Nothobranchius furzeri: one gene and its partners. The protein of the gene in region 2 interacts with the protein of the main gene of each other region in a pairwise test. Links are inferred from orthologs where the notes say so. Each region holds a gene or a part of one and is shown on either strand. Other genes may lie near its edges. The genes, in order: eaf1, stac3 and srek1ip1.

Region 1 (6,114 bases), on a different chromosome or scaffold from region 2:
AATCAATTCAATAATTTTAAATGTGCAACATGTCCCCTCTTTCACTTGAGACTGAGTTGACTGAACAGAAATACTCTGCTGACCTTTGGAGAAGAAGTAGGACCTTGTTCCATCCTGGCGAACGTAGAAGTTCTCCCCAAGCTTGTTTCCAGATTTAAACCGGAGCATGGCGTGGTCGTACATGCCATAGTCCCTGAACAAGACAACACCACCGGGCTTCAGCACCTTAAAGCCACATGTAGATTGTTACATCGCTGAATGCCAGTTTTGTGCAGGTTTGCATAAAAAGTGATTTGTACTCAAAAAAATAGACTGCAGTAACCATGTTTGACCACAGGATGTCACTCTTACTTACTGCACCTTTAAGTTCCACCTGAATTGAGTGAATTGTGCGTGGTGGTCTCAGCTCTTAACTCTACCTTGCTGATGTTCTCCAAAACCAGCTTCATCTTGTCGGGATGGATGGCCGACAGGACAAAGATGAGCGTGACAACATCGACGCTGCCTTCTGGGACATTTTCCATCAGATCATCTCTTGTTAAGTCACACTGGAAAGCACAACAGCGCTCAGTGCAGTAAAGAGGGTTTTCCTGATTAATAAAAACAAATAACAAAACAAATGTTTACATCTTTAAATGCTGTTTTTTTCCCATTTGGTTACTCTTAGCCCTTGAAATCTCCTGTTAAGGCAGCTGAACCGGGTTTTACCACAAATGGCATCAAAGGCAGCTACACTGCAGCAAAGCTTTTTTTCATTTTTATTTTTAACTTCTAGAGCACTAAGATTAACTAGACGTGCTAGAAAAGGTGGATTTCCACAAGTACACAGTTAAGCACCTTACTTTGACAAAATCAACTGCCCGAGGAGAAAAGTCACAGGCATAAACAAAGATGTTGAGGTCATCCTCCAGAAGGGGGAAGATGCAGTTCCCAACCCCGCATCCAGCTTCCAGCAGAATCAGTTTCTGGGACTCGAACTGCAAAGAGACAGACCACGTGACCCAAAATCATCACTTTGTTGTCCGTTTGGCCTCAAATCACTGTGAAACGTTGATATTCTTTACATAAACTAAGTTCATTCTACACTACATATGCTAAGTTTAATCAAACACCCCTTATCCGCTCACCTCCCGACAGGCTTTAAGCTCCTCAAACTCTCTGGTGGTCCAGTGTCTGTCTTTAAAGAAATTCGTGGTGTTTCTTTTATAAAACAAGTCCCAATTTTTCTGCGCTTCTTTCTCCAGCTTAATTTGTTTGAAATCAGATACCAGCGTCCGCTCACTGCTCAGTCTGTCCCGTTCCTCTGGAGTTAAATCTCTGACAGAGCAAAGTTTTGTTTCTCGTCCCCGTGACTCCACCTTTGTTTCGGGTTCCACTTCTTCAATGTCTTCAACTTTGCACTTTTCATTTGTCATTAACGCCATTGTTGTGTTAGATTGCCGTTCTCTCTGATAGTTTGTTTATAAAATAAAGCTTTATATAAGCTTCAATAGGAAGAAAAAGGAGGTAATATTTTTCCACACTTGGCATCCATCTTGTGCAGCATCGATGACACCGGTACCGGTTGGTGTTATTAAAAAAAATACCACGGTGGTCAACGCTTTAAAACACAAAATTTATACAAAATATAATATAAATTTTGACTGTACAATTTTATTGTTTAAATAAGTTACAAATATTTTTAACAGCTCTGAAATCACTTACACCCAGTCTGGTTTTCCGTCGGTGGTATTTGATGCTCGGACCAAAGGCAGTGTTACGCCGAGATATGTTTCCTCACAACAACAGTTTCTCCTCCTATTTTAAGCGAGTTTCCCCTTTAACTTTGTTGTTTAAACCAATTATCTGATAATAAAATAACTAAACTGAAAACTTTTGATAGTTTAATTAAAACATTAGTCATCACAGCATGGCAAAAACGTACGGAAAATATTACTTTTTAAAATTATTTAATCTGTGTTCGGTAAAAATAAATTCATACTTAAGTCAAATACTAATAACTGAATAATTGTTCAATGAGGTAAACATATTTATTTTCCAAGAATTCAGAACGGAAAACCCGCACACTGATATACGAGTAAACCGTTTTTCACTTAACACCGAAAAAGCTGCAGTCGCGTGACGTAAGTGTTGTTTTGCTAAAGGTTAGCATCTGCAAGCTAACTTTATCTTTATTTAGATTATCATCTCCGGTAGTTGCTGGATATAGCTCTGTTTTTCGGTTGTAACACAAATGTAAAATTTAATCCGGTTTCAACCAGACGAAGTCATGAACGGAAACACAAATCCACTGCTGGACAAAGAGGAACATGTTCTGAAGCTCGGAGAGAGCTTCGAGAAAAGGCCAAAATCATCTTTTCACACCATCAGATGTGAGTGTGAAAGAGACCACTTTGTGTTTCTAAAAGCTTTTAGTAAAGTCAGCTGTTGGTTGGAAGTAATTAGCTCACAGTGATACAGCTATTACATTCATTACGGTTACAGAAGTACACAATAAATGAGAAAATTTGATTTACATGTATGAACTGCAAAACACCGAACTGAAAGAAATTGCTGAACAGAAATGTGTTTATTATGTAAAAAATAGAAAGTTAAATTGTGGGGTTTAATGTTTTTTTTTTAAGTCCTTGGTTATTATCAATTATTAACTGATCATCATTCAACTTTTACTTAATTTTGCTTTGTTTATTTAAACATTTCCTAAGCCAAGTAGACAGTGTGACCAATAATTAATAAATGCACATTTCACCCAAATACCAGCAGCACATTATTTAAATATTTCCCGGTTTGTAAATTAATGTCATATTAGCAGAGTCAAGCAAAGTTATAATTTAAAACATATAAGGGTGATTAGCTAAGTTTGAATCTCTTTCATTTTTAGAAACTAAATAATTAATAATAATAAGGGATGCACCAATATGAATTTTTTGGGCCGGTACCGAGATTAGTATCACTGTTATGGCCGATAACCAATATTGGCCAATACCGTTTTATGCATCTGAAATCAGCAGATTTTGAATAGACTGAAATTATGCAAGTTGAATTTTGGAATGTTTTGCTTTATTTCTATGAAGTTGAATTTGCATTATGTTATACACACACACACACACACACACACACACACACACACACGTACGCTTCTGGTAAATGGTAAATGGCCTGTATTTGATATAGCGCCGTCTAGAGTCCTGGAACCCCCCAAGGTGCTTTACAACACAACCAGTCATTCACCCATTCACACACACATTCACACACTGGTGGGGATGAGCTACGATGTAGCCACAGCTGCTCTGGGGCGCACTGACAGAGGCGAGGCTGCTGAGCACTGGCGCCACCGGTCCTTCCGACCACCACCAGCAGATAACATGGGTCTTGCCCAAGGACACAACGACAGCAACAGACTGAGCGGGGCTCGAACCTGCAACCTTCCGATTACAGGGCGAGCACTTAACTCCTGTGCCACCGTCGCCAGATGATTACCATCACGGTCACATGTCTCAACAATTACACATCATAACTGCCCCTTACCCTCTGAAACATACACAAACGGAAATAAGATGGAAAAAATATCAGTTCTTAAAATCGGCCCAGTTTTAATTGTCGGACTGGTATGTTAAAAATGTACTAACATCGGCCAATACTCGATATTGATGCAGATATATCATACATCTCTAATAATTATATAATTTACTTCTTTTTCTATTTATTTAAGTTTTTCTAAGCAGTGAAAGGACTTGATTCATGCCTAATTTATTTATTTATTCTTAGATGACTTCAAACCAGCATCGATCGACACGAGCTGTGAGGGAGAGCTACAAGTTGGGAAAGGAGATGAAGTTACCATAACACTACCTCATATTCCAGTAAGGTTGCAGAGACGTAAACAACAAAGCACCATTCTCACATTTGTGTCAGCTGGCTCACAGTTATGGTTATTCAACATTATTAATGTTATTAAGTGTCAATCAAGTGCTTTCCCTCTGCTAACAAAGTCAGATAGCAGCTTAGGTTGAGTAATCATAGTTGATTATGTTTAAATGTAGTTTCAGTTTCATCTAGTTACATCAGGAACCAATAAAATAAACAAGTAAAAGCCCCTTTGTATGATTTTATTAAGAAAAATCAAAGGATCAAGTAAAGTTACATACTCTTCCAGGGCTCCACGCCTCCAATGACGGTATTTAAAGGAAACAAGCGGTTGTATCAGAAGGATTGTGTGCTCATCATTAACCACGACACGGGGGAATTTGTCCTGGAGAAGCTCAGCAGCAGCATCCAGGTCAAGAAAACAAGGTGGGAGAATTGTATATTACTTTTTCACACTTGATAAATCATTCATTCTAAAGTGGGGAGCAGAAAGGAGCAACAGTTGGTGAGTCTGCCGTGTTTATTTTTTATAGGGCGGAGGGCAGCAGTAAGATCCAGGCCCGAATCGAGCAGCAGTCCGTCCGTTCCTCCCAGACAAGCTCTCAGTTCCGAGCCCCGACCAAACCAGGGGCCGGGAACAAAACCTCACCCTCCCACACGAAGGACAACCCGTCCCCAGAGCCTCAGCTGGATGACATCAAACGAGGTGAGAAGGTTCTGTCACAAGATGGAACTGGTGTGTCTCAAACTGATTCTAGCTAAAATATCAGCTGGATATTGTAACTGGTGTGAAATGAACCCAGAACCAATAATGTCTCTGACCTGCTGCCGCTGGCAGAGCTGCGGGCGGAGGTGGAGGTGATCGAGCAGATGAGCAGCAGCGGCAGCAGCTCGTCCGATTCAGCCAGCGGCTCGGGGAGCGGCGACGACAGCAGCAGTAGCGATGGTGAGCACGACGCCCCCCCGCAACCGCTCAGCCAGACCTCCCCCAGCTGCACCCCCATCACCAACGGCGGAGGAGACCGGCAGCAGGGCAACAACCAGCTCATGAACACACTCCGTGAGTAGCTCTGCGTAAACGCTGATTCTCCTGTTTCTGTTTTTAAATCTCTGCATTTATCAGTTAGTGCCTTCACATTTTTATGTGTTATTACAGGATTTCCTCAGATGATACATTCCAGACGAGTTAGTTTACTCACTTAGATTATTACTTTTCTTTTTCCTCCACAGGAAGCGATCTTCAGCTCAGCGAGTCGGGCAGCGATAGTGATGACGACTGAAGTCGCTCTCCTCCTCCACACTCCTCCTCCTCCTCGCTTCCTGGTTCTTGCGTTCACTTGCTGTGATTTTTGACCTCAGCTTTAAGTTTCTGGTTTGACTGTATTTTTTTAACATTTTATTTTATTATAGCCACCCAGAAACCTTAGGATAGCATTTTATTAGATGTGCATTTTGTTTTGTATAGGAAAAAACAGAGTTTTACTTTAGGATGTAGAAGATTATAAAGAGTGTTCAGACATATTTTAAGTACTTATAAAAAACACTAGTTTTATCTGCATAATTGATCTATTTTTCTCCTTTTTTATGATGAGGCTAGTATGAAAAAGCTTTTTCCCTGTAGTGGAAGTCTTCTCTCCATGCGTATTAGTGTTTTATTAGTTGGATGAAAAAACAGCAAAAAAACAGAAAAATCAGCAAAACTCTGCAACAAGTAACAATTTTAAAAAATGCACTTTTTTCCTCCCAAGTCTTAACAGAGAAGGTGCCGATTATTGTGGATGGATTATTTCATTCATTCCCAAAACATTTCCTTATAACTAATTTGATAATGTATATTTTTATTAGTCTTTGGGAATGTCCGACGTTGCTTTAGGTTCTGAAACAACACGTCAAAATTCAACTCATGCTGGTTAAAATTTTGTTGAAATGGAATAATTAAACAATAAATGTCTTGCAGTTATTTTTCCGGCCACAAGGGGGCAGCAAAAGACCCCGAACCACAAATGTGTTTTTACTTTTTCTGGTGACCTTCTAATTTCAGCTTTAATTTGGTTTCTAAAAACATTTTAGGAAGATAGTTCTTATTTGATTGAAACATCAAAAAATACAAATAAACCCTAAAATAATGCACAATTTTTTAGAGATGAATTCAAAACTACGGGTTCAGAAAAGCTAAAATGTTTTGTTGAATTCTTTTAATTAACCACATCAGAGGTCAGATAACAAGCAGTTACCATGGAGACAAGA
Region 2 (6,158 bases):
TAAAACAGTGTTTTTCATGTGGTGGGTGTGGCCACTGCTGAAATACAGACTTTGCATGACTGACAGAGAAATATATATTTAACAAAATAAAGCGATAGGAAACAGAAAAACAGCATGATTAAATACCTTGTCATCTTTGGGAAGCCAAGATCTGCTTTGGCTACAGTATCCGTTGTCCAATGTACATGCTGGTGGCTGAGAAGCTCACAGACTTTCGGCAAAAAACCTGACTCCTCAAAATACTTGCAATGTCTTCCGCTGCGAGGAAAGCCTTCAACTTCCTGGATGATTCCAACAGATTTATTAGTTCAGGTCACATCAGAATAGTGGTTTAGATGAAGAGCCTGCAGAGAAAGGTGGATGAGGTGGATTATGTAATCTGGCAGAGGGGGAGCACGGTGAATATGTGCTACAATAAATCTTTCTTCAAACTGATCTCATTCAACCACACTTGGAAAAAGGAGAGATTACATCGGATGCCCTGCTACCTCAGAAAAAGTTCAACTTCAGAGCAAACTGTGGCTTTTTTGAAGTAGGAGGGTGTGTTTGGGTAGGCCTGTAGTTGATTCGCTATAATGTAAACAGTTGCCTCTCCCAAAACAAAGTCAGAAAACAACAAGCAATGGAAAATAGACTTAAATTAAATCCCACGGAGTCTGAAAAACGTCTAAATGCATGCGTTTAACAACATTACGGTATAAATATTGCAGCTAACGTGTAAGCTAACAGCTAAGCTAACAGGCTAAATCCACTTGGTACTCTGTTGTCGTGACAGCTGTCAGGAGCACTAAACACTCCCGATGCAAAACTCTAGTGTCTTAGCTACGGGTACAAGAAACGAGCGTTGCACGACATTGTTTAGCTAAAAACCTTCATGAAACTTATCCACACATTTCACTTATTAACAAATATTTGTTAGCTAACGTCAACATGTTGTGAACAATCTTTCTCTGCGTCAAGCTATGTGTTGACCACCAAGTTTAGAAGTCTTCGCTCTTTTTCGTTCGCTGGAAAATCAAGAGTTAGCTAGTTAGGACTACTAAATTAATACTAAATAAAATACGTAGAAAACGATCAACACTCTAATAACTAAAACGAATCATTACATAATCCAAATCACGAACTGGCACGGCGAGTCAGCACTCAAATGTTAGTCAACGTCTTCCAGTCGGACTTAAAAACAAAGGGGGCAATAACGCTTCATTTTACTACGCCTGGGTTCTTCTGGAGGCTAGCGTTCCCAGCTAGGCTAACTGGAGGGGCTAACTCAGTGATATTTACTTGTTCTAGAGTGTCCCACAAAGACAGAGGGATGTCCCGTTCCCGCTCCACACCTATCCAGCCGTCGCTTTGGTCTTTCTTCTGCTAATCCGCATAGCATTCAATGGTATTCCGACAAACATAACGACCCGTGTAATCCCCAATTCACAGTTACCCTCTGTTTTTTTCTTACAAATTCCGAGAAAAAAATAATGGAGTTTTGTTTTGCGCAGGCGCACTGAGCACGTAAGGAATATTGTACCCAACATGCAACGAGACATTTGTAGTGTTCCAGTCAGACGTCAATCCACAGGGGGCGCTGTTTGGTGGACAGGACATAACAGAATAATATTCCGTAAACAACTAATAAATACACAAACAAATAAATGTATTATATTTGTGTACAACGTTTTAACCTCTACATCAACAAAATACACCTTTGTAAAAAAGTATTCTGAGTTGGAGTTAATACTGGGCTGACAGCTCAAAAATATTTTGTATATAAACAGAGGAAAAACTTTATAGGATTATTTGTTACAAATGAAATAAAACAACGAATAAAGATGCTTGCTAGAGTGGTTGAGTTACATGGCAGTTATTGTTTAAAAATCAATGTTTCTTTTATGTATTTATCCAGCTTTTGCAGCATCTACTAGCATTCAGAACAACTTGAACATATATATAAATAAAATAGTTTTTACAACTTTGAAAGAGATGTAGTCATTTTTGTTGTTTCTCCTTGGTCTCCCAAAAGAATGGAGGGATACAGGCCCATGAGCAGGACAGATACCTTTGTGTGTGTGTGCGTGCGTGCGTGCGTGCGTGCGTGTGTGTGTGTGTGTGTGTGTGTGTGTGTGTGTGTGTATGTGTGTGTGTGTGTGTGTGTGTGTGTGTGTGTGTGTGTGTGTGTGTGTGTGTGTGTGTGTGTGTGTGTGTAGAGAACATATCTGATTTCTCATCGTCACTGGTGCTTAGTTTGAGGTCCTTCAGCTGTTGCAAACTGTCAACGTCACAAAGCAGTGCTCAGCCTGTCATGCTCACAATTACACCCATAGATACACAAACTTACAGCTTTAATAAATATCTGGGTCGCACTCAGCATTCACGCCCAGTGTGGGAATAACCTGAAGGAAACACAGAGGGACCATACAGTACTGGATCCAGAAGTGCTGAAAAGTGAGGGAGCATTTTGGTCAGTTGGTAAGTCAAACTCTGCTTCAATGGCCACATAACACTTCAGAAAAATCTAGCAGGTGAAGGGAAGCATTTTTTTATTTACCTTTTCTGTGTAACCTCTAATAACTTGGTAAGTGATGGTGAAGTTTATGTGTAATTTTTAATTATGTCTCAAGTAGCAAAAATGCCTAATGGAATCGTTTTGTAGGAACGTTGTGTGAATGCTACATCCATTTAGCCCGTTATTTACTCATTTTTCCTGAAATTCTTTTATGCTGTCTGGAATATTTTCCTGACATGCAGCAGTTCCTAAATTTAGTTTTCAGATCAAATTTCAAAAACCAAGAATAGAGCAGGTCAGGATGACAAATGCTCTTTACCACTGTTTGCTACAAGGTATTAGCTCCGAATGTCACACAGAGAGAGACTAAAGACATGTTTTATGTCTCTGCTTGCTTTATAGTTAATAATTTGACCAGATCCTTGTCTGAAATAGTGAATTTCAACTATAGCAACAATTTCCCTTGTCATCCAGGAACGTGTTTGGTGCTTAAAAACAAACAAGTCCTTCAAAATGTAGGCAAATCAGAAAAGAAACATGCAATCCAAAAGATGTGGCCTTGTTTTGCATTTAGGAAAAACGAGCTACTGACAAACTGCAAGTGCATCTTGAGAAAAGACAGACAGTAAAATGTACATGATTTCTTTTAAGGGTGCAGTATACTGATATTTCCAGCACTCCATGGATCAGTGAGTACAGTTCATGTCCATGTGCTGCATGTTTCTAACATCTCTGTGGGTTTCACTAAATAAAATCTGAGCTCTAAATTTACCAGTGCGACTAAAATCAGGTTTGTTTGAGGTGATGAACGGGGAATCTTGTTGAAGCACATCATGGTTCTCCTCAATGTTCCTGGTTTAAGAGTTCACTCATCAAAAAGGTGTGTGTTTGGATTTATATGTAACTGGTCTGGATCCTGGAGCCCTATCACCAGCTGGTTGATGTTTGTGCATGATGGGAAAAGGTGCGATGTAAAAAAAAATGTCCTTCAAACTTTGAGCAGTTTTCACATTAACGTTTGCTGATAAATCTCCTCACATGATCCAGATGTTCCCTCTGCGATACGTTTTTACACCACAGTCATGGCAGGTGGCTTCAGTTGGTCTTCATCTTTCTCTTTGTGCTTCTTAGAGAGGATGACAAAAACTCCGTGGACATCCACGACAATCCTCCAGCCCCTGACAATGTAGTGAGGGAGGAAGGAGACACGGTGAGTGGCAGCACCACGTCAACCACTCGCTATTAGCAGCCGTTCTCAGGCTGATTAAAATAGCCTCCAGCTGGGACGGGACTGCAATATGGTGTTTGTTTATATCTCATGAGTTAATAAATAAGTCCTGATCACCTGTATGGAACTGTTCTCTTCTTCGTCTTTGCTTGCAGGTCTATTTTATTTATGAGGAGGAGGTGGAGGTAGAGGAGAAGGAACCAGAACCTCCTTCCGAGCCCATTGTTCGGATCAATGACAAACCTCACAAGTTTAAGGACCATTACTGCAAGAAACCCAAGTTCTGTGACGTCTGCGCTCGCATGATAGTCTGTACGTGTTTAACCCAGAAAATATCACGAGACATATTTTGAGATTTATGATGATTCGGTTAACTTTGCACATCTCTTAGTGAACAACAAATTTTGTCTGAGGTGTAAAAACTGCAAGACCAACATCCACCATTCGTGTCAGTCCTATGTCGAGTTCCAGAAGTGCTTTGGAAAAATCGTGAGTTTTCTCTCTCTCACACACATTTGAATTTAAATGTCTAAAAAAGCACTACAGGACTAAATGGAAGGTTTTAGTTGAAATTTTTTCTTTTTTTTTCTTTGTCTTGTAGCCACCTGGCTTTAGAAGAGCCTATAGTTCTCCTCTGTACAGCAGCGACATCCCAGATCCAAGTGAGTCCATCAAACCTTCAATCACTCCTAGAATTAGTAATCCTTTATTTATTACTGCTAAATCAGAGTAAAATAATTAAATTTTACGGTGAATTCTTTTAAGCAGATGTGTAAAATTAGTAGGGAGGTCGGAAATATCGACATCAACATCATATCGGCTGATGTTTGTTTTTTATCTGTGTATCGGTCCAATAAGTAAAACTTGGCTGATACTTTCTTCCATCTAGTTGCTATTGTTGTATCTTGGAGAGAGATGGTCATGCAGTGAATTTTTAATCATGTCAATCAGTCAATCAATCAATCATTGAGAGCAATCTACAATTTATAATGGTTAGAAGTGCCCAATGTTGAAAAATCTTCCTTACAAAGGTGTAATTATATTTTAGGGATGTCCGTTACTAACAGCTAATGTTGGCATTTAAGGTGCATTATGTAGAAATGAAGTAAATATGACAATCTGTGGTAAAATCTGGTTGCTGCAATCACTTTAAACAACTCTGGAGCTTTTTGCCGGCCGTAGTCAAATTACAACTATCGGCGCTGCAGTATTAGCTCGCAGGAGACACAACAACCCCACACTTGTCATGTTCTGCGGGTGGTGGGTTTCAGGAGGCAGATGAGCAGGCAACGGATGAAAAAATTAAAAGATGTTTAATCGTAGACTGGGAGCAACAGGACGAACGAACATGCACAAACGACAATGAACCGACAAAGACAGCAACAAGGAGGGAGGTATAAATACACAAGGGAATCAGGAACACATGGGCAGAGTAATGAGGGACAGGTGAGAACAATAAGGCTAATCAGGGCAGGAGAGACACAGTCAGGGAGGCCGGGGCGGATCATGACAACACTCACTGGTAGTAAACACTAGTTACGTCCATCTTTCCTTTGTTTTGAAATGAGATGAACTGACAATCCTCACAGCCAGCTGGATATGAAATGTGTTTAAATATAACCTTCCTTCTAAAATGACCAACACTTTTTGGATTTTCTCACTGTAGATTTTTCACTATATTTTTACATAGTGCACCTTTAAAATGTAATATCAGAAATAATGAGTTGATTTTCACTCTTTTAATGACACAACTTTTACATGCCATGTACATATTAAACATCAAATTCTTCAGCATGGTCTAATAATAGCCATTTAATATTAGCCCATTTTTTGTATCAGTGCATCCCTAAAAATTTGAGATAAAAAAATCTAATGTTTGTAATGCCTGGACTATAGCATTTTCTACAGATTATTCATTAAATAAAGCTTTATAATTGAAAGTGCTGATATTTTCTGGCCAAAATTTTCCATCCGACACCAGACAACCCAAACCGAAACGACCCAGTCTTTGACACACTGAGAGTTGGTGTCATCATGGCGAACAAGGAGCGCAAAAAGAATGAAAATGACAAGAAAAATGTGAGTATTTACGATGAGTTTCATCAATAAAAACACAATAAAACACATTTCAGAAACACATCATTGTGTAAAACAAACCCAACAAAGGTATGAAAGCACACATTTGAAAAATAATTGATTAAAGCAGATGCACTGCTCAAAATGACTTTAGGTAACTTCAGAATATTGTCAATAAATCACAACATTTATTCACTTATATGTGCTTTAGATGATGATGATGATGGAAGAGGAAGAGGAGGAGAACCAGCAGCCCAAAGAGAGTGAGGAAGCAGGAGAAGGTAAGAAAATGTACCTTGGTAAATTACACAATAATTGCTATTAGGCATAAATCTATGAAATTAGTTTTCTGCAAAG
Region 3 (6,158 bases), on a different chromosome or scaffold from region 2:
ACAACAACAAGGTCTATGATCGTTGCTCAAATTTCATTGGATATTTCCACTCTTGTCTTGCTCTTCCTCTTCATCCTCCTCTTTCTCTTTCTTGCCCTCCTCCTCACCCCCCACCTCGCCTACGCACCCGTCCTCGTCCTCTCACATGAATACTTCTATCCAATGTCCCACTTTCTCATTCCCACCTTCAACAACCTGTTTGCTCTCTGAACTTGCTTATGCTGGTTGTCACATAATTTGAAACAAGTGAAATCTATTTAGACTGATTGTGTTCAATCAATGGCATGTGTGCTCTTGTTATGGGTAAATGTGTGCCACTTGTGTTTACCGTTATGGACGACATGTACATTAGAGTGCAGAATGTGTTTTAAGAACGAGAAATGCGTTTAGAGTTTTGCTAAACCGTGTGAAATGGTTTAAGGTTTTGACAACAGGCTCAACAGTTAGCTTAATGAGTTCAAGCAACAGAGAACGTTCTTCAGTCAATGGATTTTAGTGTTTTAGCAATTGAGAAAAACTGTAATATCGGAATCTGCCCAACAATTTCATAAGGGTGTATCACTAGCACCAACCCATCAGCCAGCATAAAGCCTCCATTTTTTCCCTGCCTTCTAAAACTCTGCACAAGAGGGGGGTAGTTCAGCCTCAGGGTGGAAATAGCAGTTTGTCGTTTTGGGCTCATTAGATGTCATCGCTCTAATATCGATGCATAACAACTAAATGGTTCATTAAATACACAAAACTCTGTCTTCATCGCTCCTTCCAAACACTTTGCTGTGATGAGGATTTACACAGGTGCCTCTGCCAAGCAGTGTTGTTGCTCAGAAATGTGCCTAATCATGATGTTGTGGCGAATTAAACATAAAATGTCATCATCACCTCCGTAACTCGTTTCCAGTGCACATGAACAGGACTTTTGTCCAACATGACTACTGGGTAGCCTGATGGTTGGTTCATACTAGCACATAAGGAAAAGGTCATCATGTCCACACCTTTTTTTTTAAATATAATTTTCTTTAAAGGTTTAAATTTGATTTGAGGTTGATGTCTTACTTAATACAGCCTTATTGTGAAAGGATCTGAATGCACTTCTTTTAGGGACTTTTGAGCATCTTTAGCACTAGTGAATAACTCCAAACCTTTCATGAAGCTGAAACTTCTCTTTTAAGTGCTGATGTTGTTAAACAGCAGTTTACCAGATAGAAATATGAGGTGTGATGCTTCCCTCTAGTGGCCATGTGGCTGCATATGAACCATATTTAGTCCGTTTTTTTTTTTTTTTTTGTCAATCAGGATTGGTGGTTTATTAAATTTGGTCAGATTAGATTACAAAGGGAAAACAGTGACAGATTAAACTGAAACAAACATGTTTTATTCCCAGTAAAGGGTCAGTGATCAACAGAAAACTAAGACAAACCTGCAGTAATTACAGCAAAGATGATGCATTTCACTGACTGTTTATGCATTTTTGCAGAAACCTCACACATGCAACCTACACAAAGAAAGGTCAGGATTTGAACCTGTGACCTTCCCGCTGCAAAGCAACAGCACTACCAACTGAACCACCGTACTGCCCTCATGTTTAAAAGCACTTTGACCTTTTAAATTGATCCTTTTTGACTAAAATACATAAAAATAACAGAAATAGGAACTTATTAACCTGCAGTATGAAGTGTTTAATATTTTAAATCCTTGTATAAAGATGGGTTCCTGACAGTCTCAGAGGAAATCAGCAGTCATTTTAACCCTTACGTCATATTGTTGCCATTAATCTGTAGCAGACAAAATTTACTTTAACACTCAGAAAGGAAAGCTCAGATGAAACTATTTGATTTGCTGCATTTATAAAGTGTCAAAACGCAGACCATCTACACTTCTGAATAAACACGTCGTCCAGAAACGACACTGTTCAGTCACTGTCTGATGATTCACCAGAGGTGGAAGAGGATGATGAGGATGATTTGTGTTTCCTCTTCTTCTCTTTCATTTTGTGATGCTTCCCGTGCTCTTTTTTGTTCTTTTTACTCTTCTTCTTGCGGCTTAGTTTCTTTTTCTTTCTTCTCTCCTCTTCATCCGACGATGAGCTTGATCTGCTTCGCTTCTTCTTTTTTTTTGTGCCCCCATCACTCGACGACGAGTAAGATCTAAATTTTAAATAATAGTTACTGGCTTTGGTAAAACCAAGAAAACACTTCAAATCTTTAAGTATCAACTATAAAAACATCTAAAATAATACATTATTAGTCTATCTTTAACTAGTGGAATGAAAAATATTTTCCAACAACTTACATGCTTTTTTCAACACAGTAATTGAGAATATAGGAGCATTAAAAACACGTATCTTAATATAAACACAAGATAAATGACCTTTTTCTTGACTTTCTGTCTTTGTTCTTCTGTTTCCGCTTCTTTTTTCTATCGTCATCATCATTGGAATCTAAAACATTGAAAATAATGAAAGGAAAAGTCGACATTGAATCAAAGCAAGTCACAGTAGAAGCAGAACAGGACCTGAATCATAGAAGAACAGAAAGTTTGATTAGCATTTGAAAGTCTCTTGTTTGATTTTTTTTAGTTTCTTATGTAAAGTAAGCGGTGACGGTCTGCCTCCACATTGAGAGGATCTGGTTAGGATGCCTCCCTGGTGAGGTTTTCCAGACACGTCAAACTGGGAGTAGACCTAAAGGAAGACCAAGGACAAGCTGGAGGCACTATGTTTCTCAGTAGGACAGGGAACGCCTTGGGATTCCCCCAGAGAAGCTGGACCAAGTGGCTCGGGAAAGGGAAGCCTGGCCCTCTCTGCTTAAGCTGCTGCCCCCATGGCCCGAACCCGGATAAGCGGAGGAAAATAGATAGATGGATGGTAGTCTGCACTTTCTTTGCTTTATTTTAATCAAAATATTATTGATTTAAGCAAATTTTAAGCCATCTGACCTTTGTGATGCTGACCACTCCGTCCCAGTTTCTCTGTGTGCTGAGAAACTGGTCCGTCATCTTCACTCTCCTCGCTGCTGGTGCTGCTCACATCCAGAACAATGTCTTTCTGCGGGTCGACCCGGACGAAGTTTCGGCACTCAAACGTCAAATGTCCCGCTGAGAAACGAACACAAAAAGAGATCACAATTGAAACACTAAATTAAGGAAAAGAACATTTGTTCAGATGGAAAAACGTCAGTGAAAACATTAAATCTAATTATTTACACAGTTCTTCATTACTGATAGCATATTTTAAATCATATAACTTGTTTTTGGCTCATTTTAAACAAAGTACCTCTATCTGTCTCCAAAAGCATTTAAGATTCAAAGAATTCACTTTTCAAATGTAACTTGAAAAATAAATCGAATGCATACATTTGTACTAATAAGTAATCTATTAGATAAAGTTACTTACGATAGCCACATTTCTTACAGCCAGCTCTGATGTTGTCTTTGTTGGCAGCTGTCAGGTGATACAAGAGGTTAAATATCACGAAGATTCACGCGGGAAAGCGCTTTATGACTGCATTATTTCTTTTTCAACACAGAAATTGTTTAACGATATTTAGCTAAGTTATAATATATCCAGGATTTGTGCGAAAATGCCAGGAGTAGTCTCCGTGTTTGTTGGAGGTTTAACTGTTGTAAAGATGAGCTCCACTTTACTTATCTTATCTACGCTAAATGATCAAAAAATTAGCCTAAAAACACTCAAACAGAACCCCTACCTGGTGCCGCCATTGTGCTTTTGGTGATAAAACTACAAATTTGTTTTAAAAAATATATATTTCAGAGCGAATGCAAGTCTACAAGAACAATACCGTCGACCGGAAACATTTGCACCTGAAACTACTGCTTCCTCCCTCTCTTCTTCTAATTTCCTGTTTAGAAAACAAAATCAGTGGCTCAATGTCGCCACCTGCTGGACATGTGCTAAAAACAAAGACCTACAAAAAAAAAAGATCGTCTCCAAAAAATATAAATAAATAAAATAAATCTTATGGTTCCTTACAGTTACTAGTATTATTTATTTATTTATTTATTTTATTTTATTTTATTTTATTTTATTTTATTTTATTTAACCAGGGAAAGCCCATGGAGGTTAAAAAATCTTTATTAAGGGAGACCTAGCTAGCCAATAAGGCAAAGATCAAAACGACGTTCATTCAAGAAGAAAAAATAAGCATTACAATGAACACTGGATATATTTAAAGGAAACAGTTGGATGTTGTCATCATTGGGTCTGTGGTGGTACTTCAACATCAACAAGGTTTAAACACATGGACAGTAGTTTTGACCACTTTTTAAATTTAATTAAAGTTTTTTAAACTGAAAGGGTCGTTGAGATTTACATCTAGGAATGTCCTTGCAGAGCAACAATAAATAAAACAGTTTACACATTGCAGAAAAACAAACAAACAAAAGCATTAGGATAATCAGCAAACGAAAAAGGATTCAGGTAGTTTGTGCAGCAGCCAGTGACAGAAATTCATAAATCGAAACATGTACCTCCAAATGTTTAGCTAGTTCATATTTCAAGTTTTAATTAAAAATACTTTGTTTTCATAAATGATATCTCTGTAATCAACAAAAACTCGTTATTTAGCAATGTTTGCACTTTTCCTGATTGATTTACCAGCAAAGTCTGGTGTGGTTTTATTTGCCAGGGGTTAATTGACAGCAGCCAGGCTTGAAGATGGAAAATGCTGACAGATGTTGGGCCCCCAGACGTGCTGTCATCATTAGGTCTGTGGCTGTGACACACACACACACACACACACACACACACACACACACACACACACACACACACACACACACACACACACACACACACACACACACACACACACACACGCACACACACACACCAAACTGCCAGAAGTAAATCTAGAATTAACTTAGTAAAAAAGGAAATGATAAAGTAATCAGAAGATTCCCCATAAAAGCTGATGTCCCTGAAAACATTTGGCAAGATCAAATGTTTTCTAAATAATATTTTGACATTCCTGTAACATCTGCATTCAAAATAGAAAACTGGAAAAAATAAACTTATCTGCATCACTGTTGGTTTACGTCTGCAGGTGAGAGAACAAAGCAAATTCAAACAGACTTCTTTTCTATGTGAGACAGCCCATTGCTGGAAAAACAAATGTCGAATTAGCAAGAACGTTGTAAAAGAGTCCCACAGCCTGGTTGAAGATGTAGGAAGTAAACCACCATCAGATAAAGTGTGGCCCATAGACCCTTTATGAGGAAAAACACAAATGGAAACTAGGTTCCCTTCCTCAGATGGGCACACCACAGGGCTCCCCTCTGGAGCCAGGCCTGAGGTGGGGCACGTTGGTGAGCACCTGGTGGCTGGGCTTTCGCCCATGAAGCCCAGCCGGGCACAGCCCGAAGAGGAAATGTGGGTATCCTCTCCATGAGCTCACCACTCGTGGGAGGGGCCAAAGGGGTCAGGTTGTGTGACGGGTGGTAGACAAAGGCAGGGACCTCGGCTACAAAAGCTTGCTCTCGGTACGTGCAATGTCACCTCTCGGGTACGGAAAGAGCTGGAGTTGTTGTGTATGGTTGAGATGCGAGATATTGTTGGACTCACCTCAACACATGGCTTTGGCTCTGGAACCAGTTTCCTCGAGAAGGGTCCTGACTGTGGTTTGTGCTTATGCAACAAACTACAATTCAGACTACCCACACTTTGTGGGGTCATTGGAGGGGGTGCTGGAGAGCGCTCCTTCCAGTGACTACCCCGTTCTGCTGGGGGACTTTAACGCTCACGTGAGAAATGACAGTGAGACCTGGAGAGGTGTAGTTGGGAGGAACGCCCCCCTGATCTGAATTTGAGTGGTGTTTTGTTACTGAACTTCTGTCATGATTGTCCATAATGAACAACATGTTCAAGCATAAAGGTGTCCGCATGTGCTCTTGGAACCAGGATACCTTAGGCCGCAGTTCGATGATCAACTTTGTTGTTGTTTCATCTGATCTGCGGTCGCATGTTTTGGACCCTCAGGAGAAGAGAGGGGTGGAGTTGTCAATTGACCACTACCTGCTGGTCAGTTGGCTCAGACAGAATTTCGAACACGTCCTGAGGGAAGCAGGGGACATTGAGTCAGAGGGAGCCATGTTCCATACTTCCATTGATGAGGTGGCTGACCAGAGCTGTGGCTGCAGGGTCG

The links.
Region 1: the proteins of stac3 (region 2) and eaf1 interact in binary tests that used the Homo sapiens proteins (3 or more experiments, as listed by UniProt). The two-hybrid records come from large-scale screens. The link is inferred for Nothobranchius furzeri from reciprocal best matches to the Homo sapiens genes STAC3 and EAF1.
Region 3: the proteins of stac3 (region 2) and srek1ip1 interact in binary tests that used the Homo sapiens proteins (3 or more experiments, as listed by UniProt). The two-hybrid records come from large-scale screens. The link is inferred for Nothobranchius furzeri from reciprocal best matches to the Homo sapiens genes STAC3 and SREK1IP1.

What each region holds. Positions count from the first base shown.
Region 1 is NC_091745.1:66,978,218-66,984,331, reverse strand, and holds the start of eaf1 (ELL-associated factor 1), read left to right. Parts: upstream 1-2,080; 5' UTR 2,081-2,269; coding exon 2,270-2,372; intron 2,373-3,768; coding exon 3,769-3,863; intron 3,864-4,156; coding exon 4,157-4,293; intron 4,294-4,400; coding exon 4,401-4,573; intron 4,574-4,705; coding exon 4,706-4,927; intron 4,928-5,097; coding exon 5,098-5,147; 3' UTR 5,148-6,114. Other genes in the region: tRNA N(3)-methylcytidine methyltransferase METTL6, read right to left, coding at 84-225, 420-590, 843-977, 1,128-1,424. UniProt on the Homo sapiens protein: Acts as a transcriptional transactivator of ELL and ELL2 elongation activities.
Region 2 is NC_091755.1:32,733,848-32,740,005, forward strand, and holds the start of stac3 (SH3 and cysteine-rich domain-containing protein 3), read left to right. Parts: upstream 1-2,261; 5' UTR 2,262-2,460; intron 2,461-3,148; 5' UTR 3,149-3,178; coding exon 3,179-3,186; intron 3,187-3,628; coding exon 3,629-3,707; intron 3,708-3,880; coding exon 3,881-4,037; intron 4,038-4,116; coding exon 4,117-4,214; intron 4,215-4,326; coding exon 4,327-4,387; intron 4,388-5,706; coding exon 5,707-5,804; intron 5,805-6,012; coding exon 6,013-6,082; intron 6,083-6,158. UniProt on the Homo sapiens protein: Required for normal excitation-contraction coupling in skeletal muscle and for normal muscle contraction in response to membrane depolarization. Required for normal Ca(2+) release from the sarcplasmic reticulum, which ultimately leads to muscle contraction.
Region 3 is NC_091748.1:63,076,223-63,082,380, forward strand, and holds srek1ip1 (protein SREK1IP1), read right to left. Parts: upstream 3,851-6,158; 5' UTR 3,718-3,850; coding exon 3,705-3,717; intron 3,440-3,704; coding exon 3,392-3,439; intron 3,094-3,391; coding exon 2,935-3,093; intron 2,438-2,934; coding exon 2,368-2,437; intron 2,145-2,367; coding exon 1,910-2,144; 3' UTR 1,351-1,909; downstream 1-1,350. UniProt on the Homo sapiens protein: Possible splicing regulator involved in the control of cellular survival.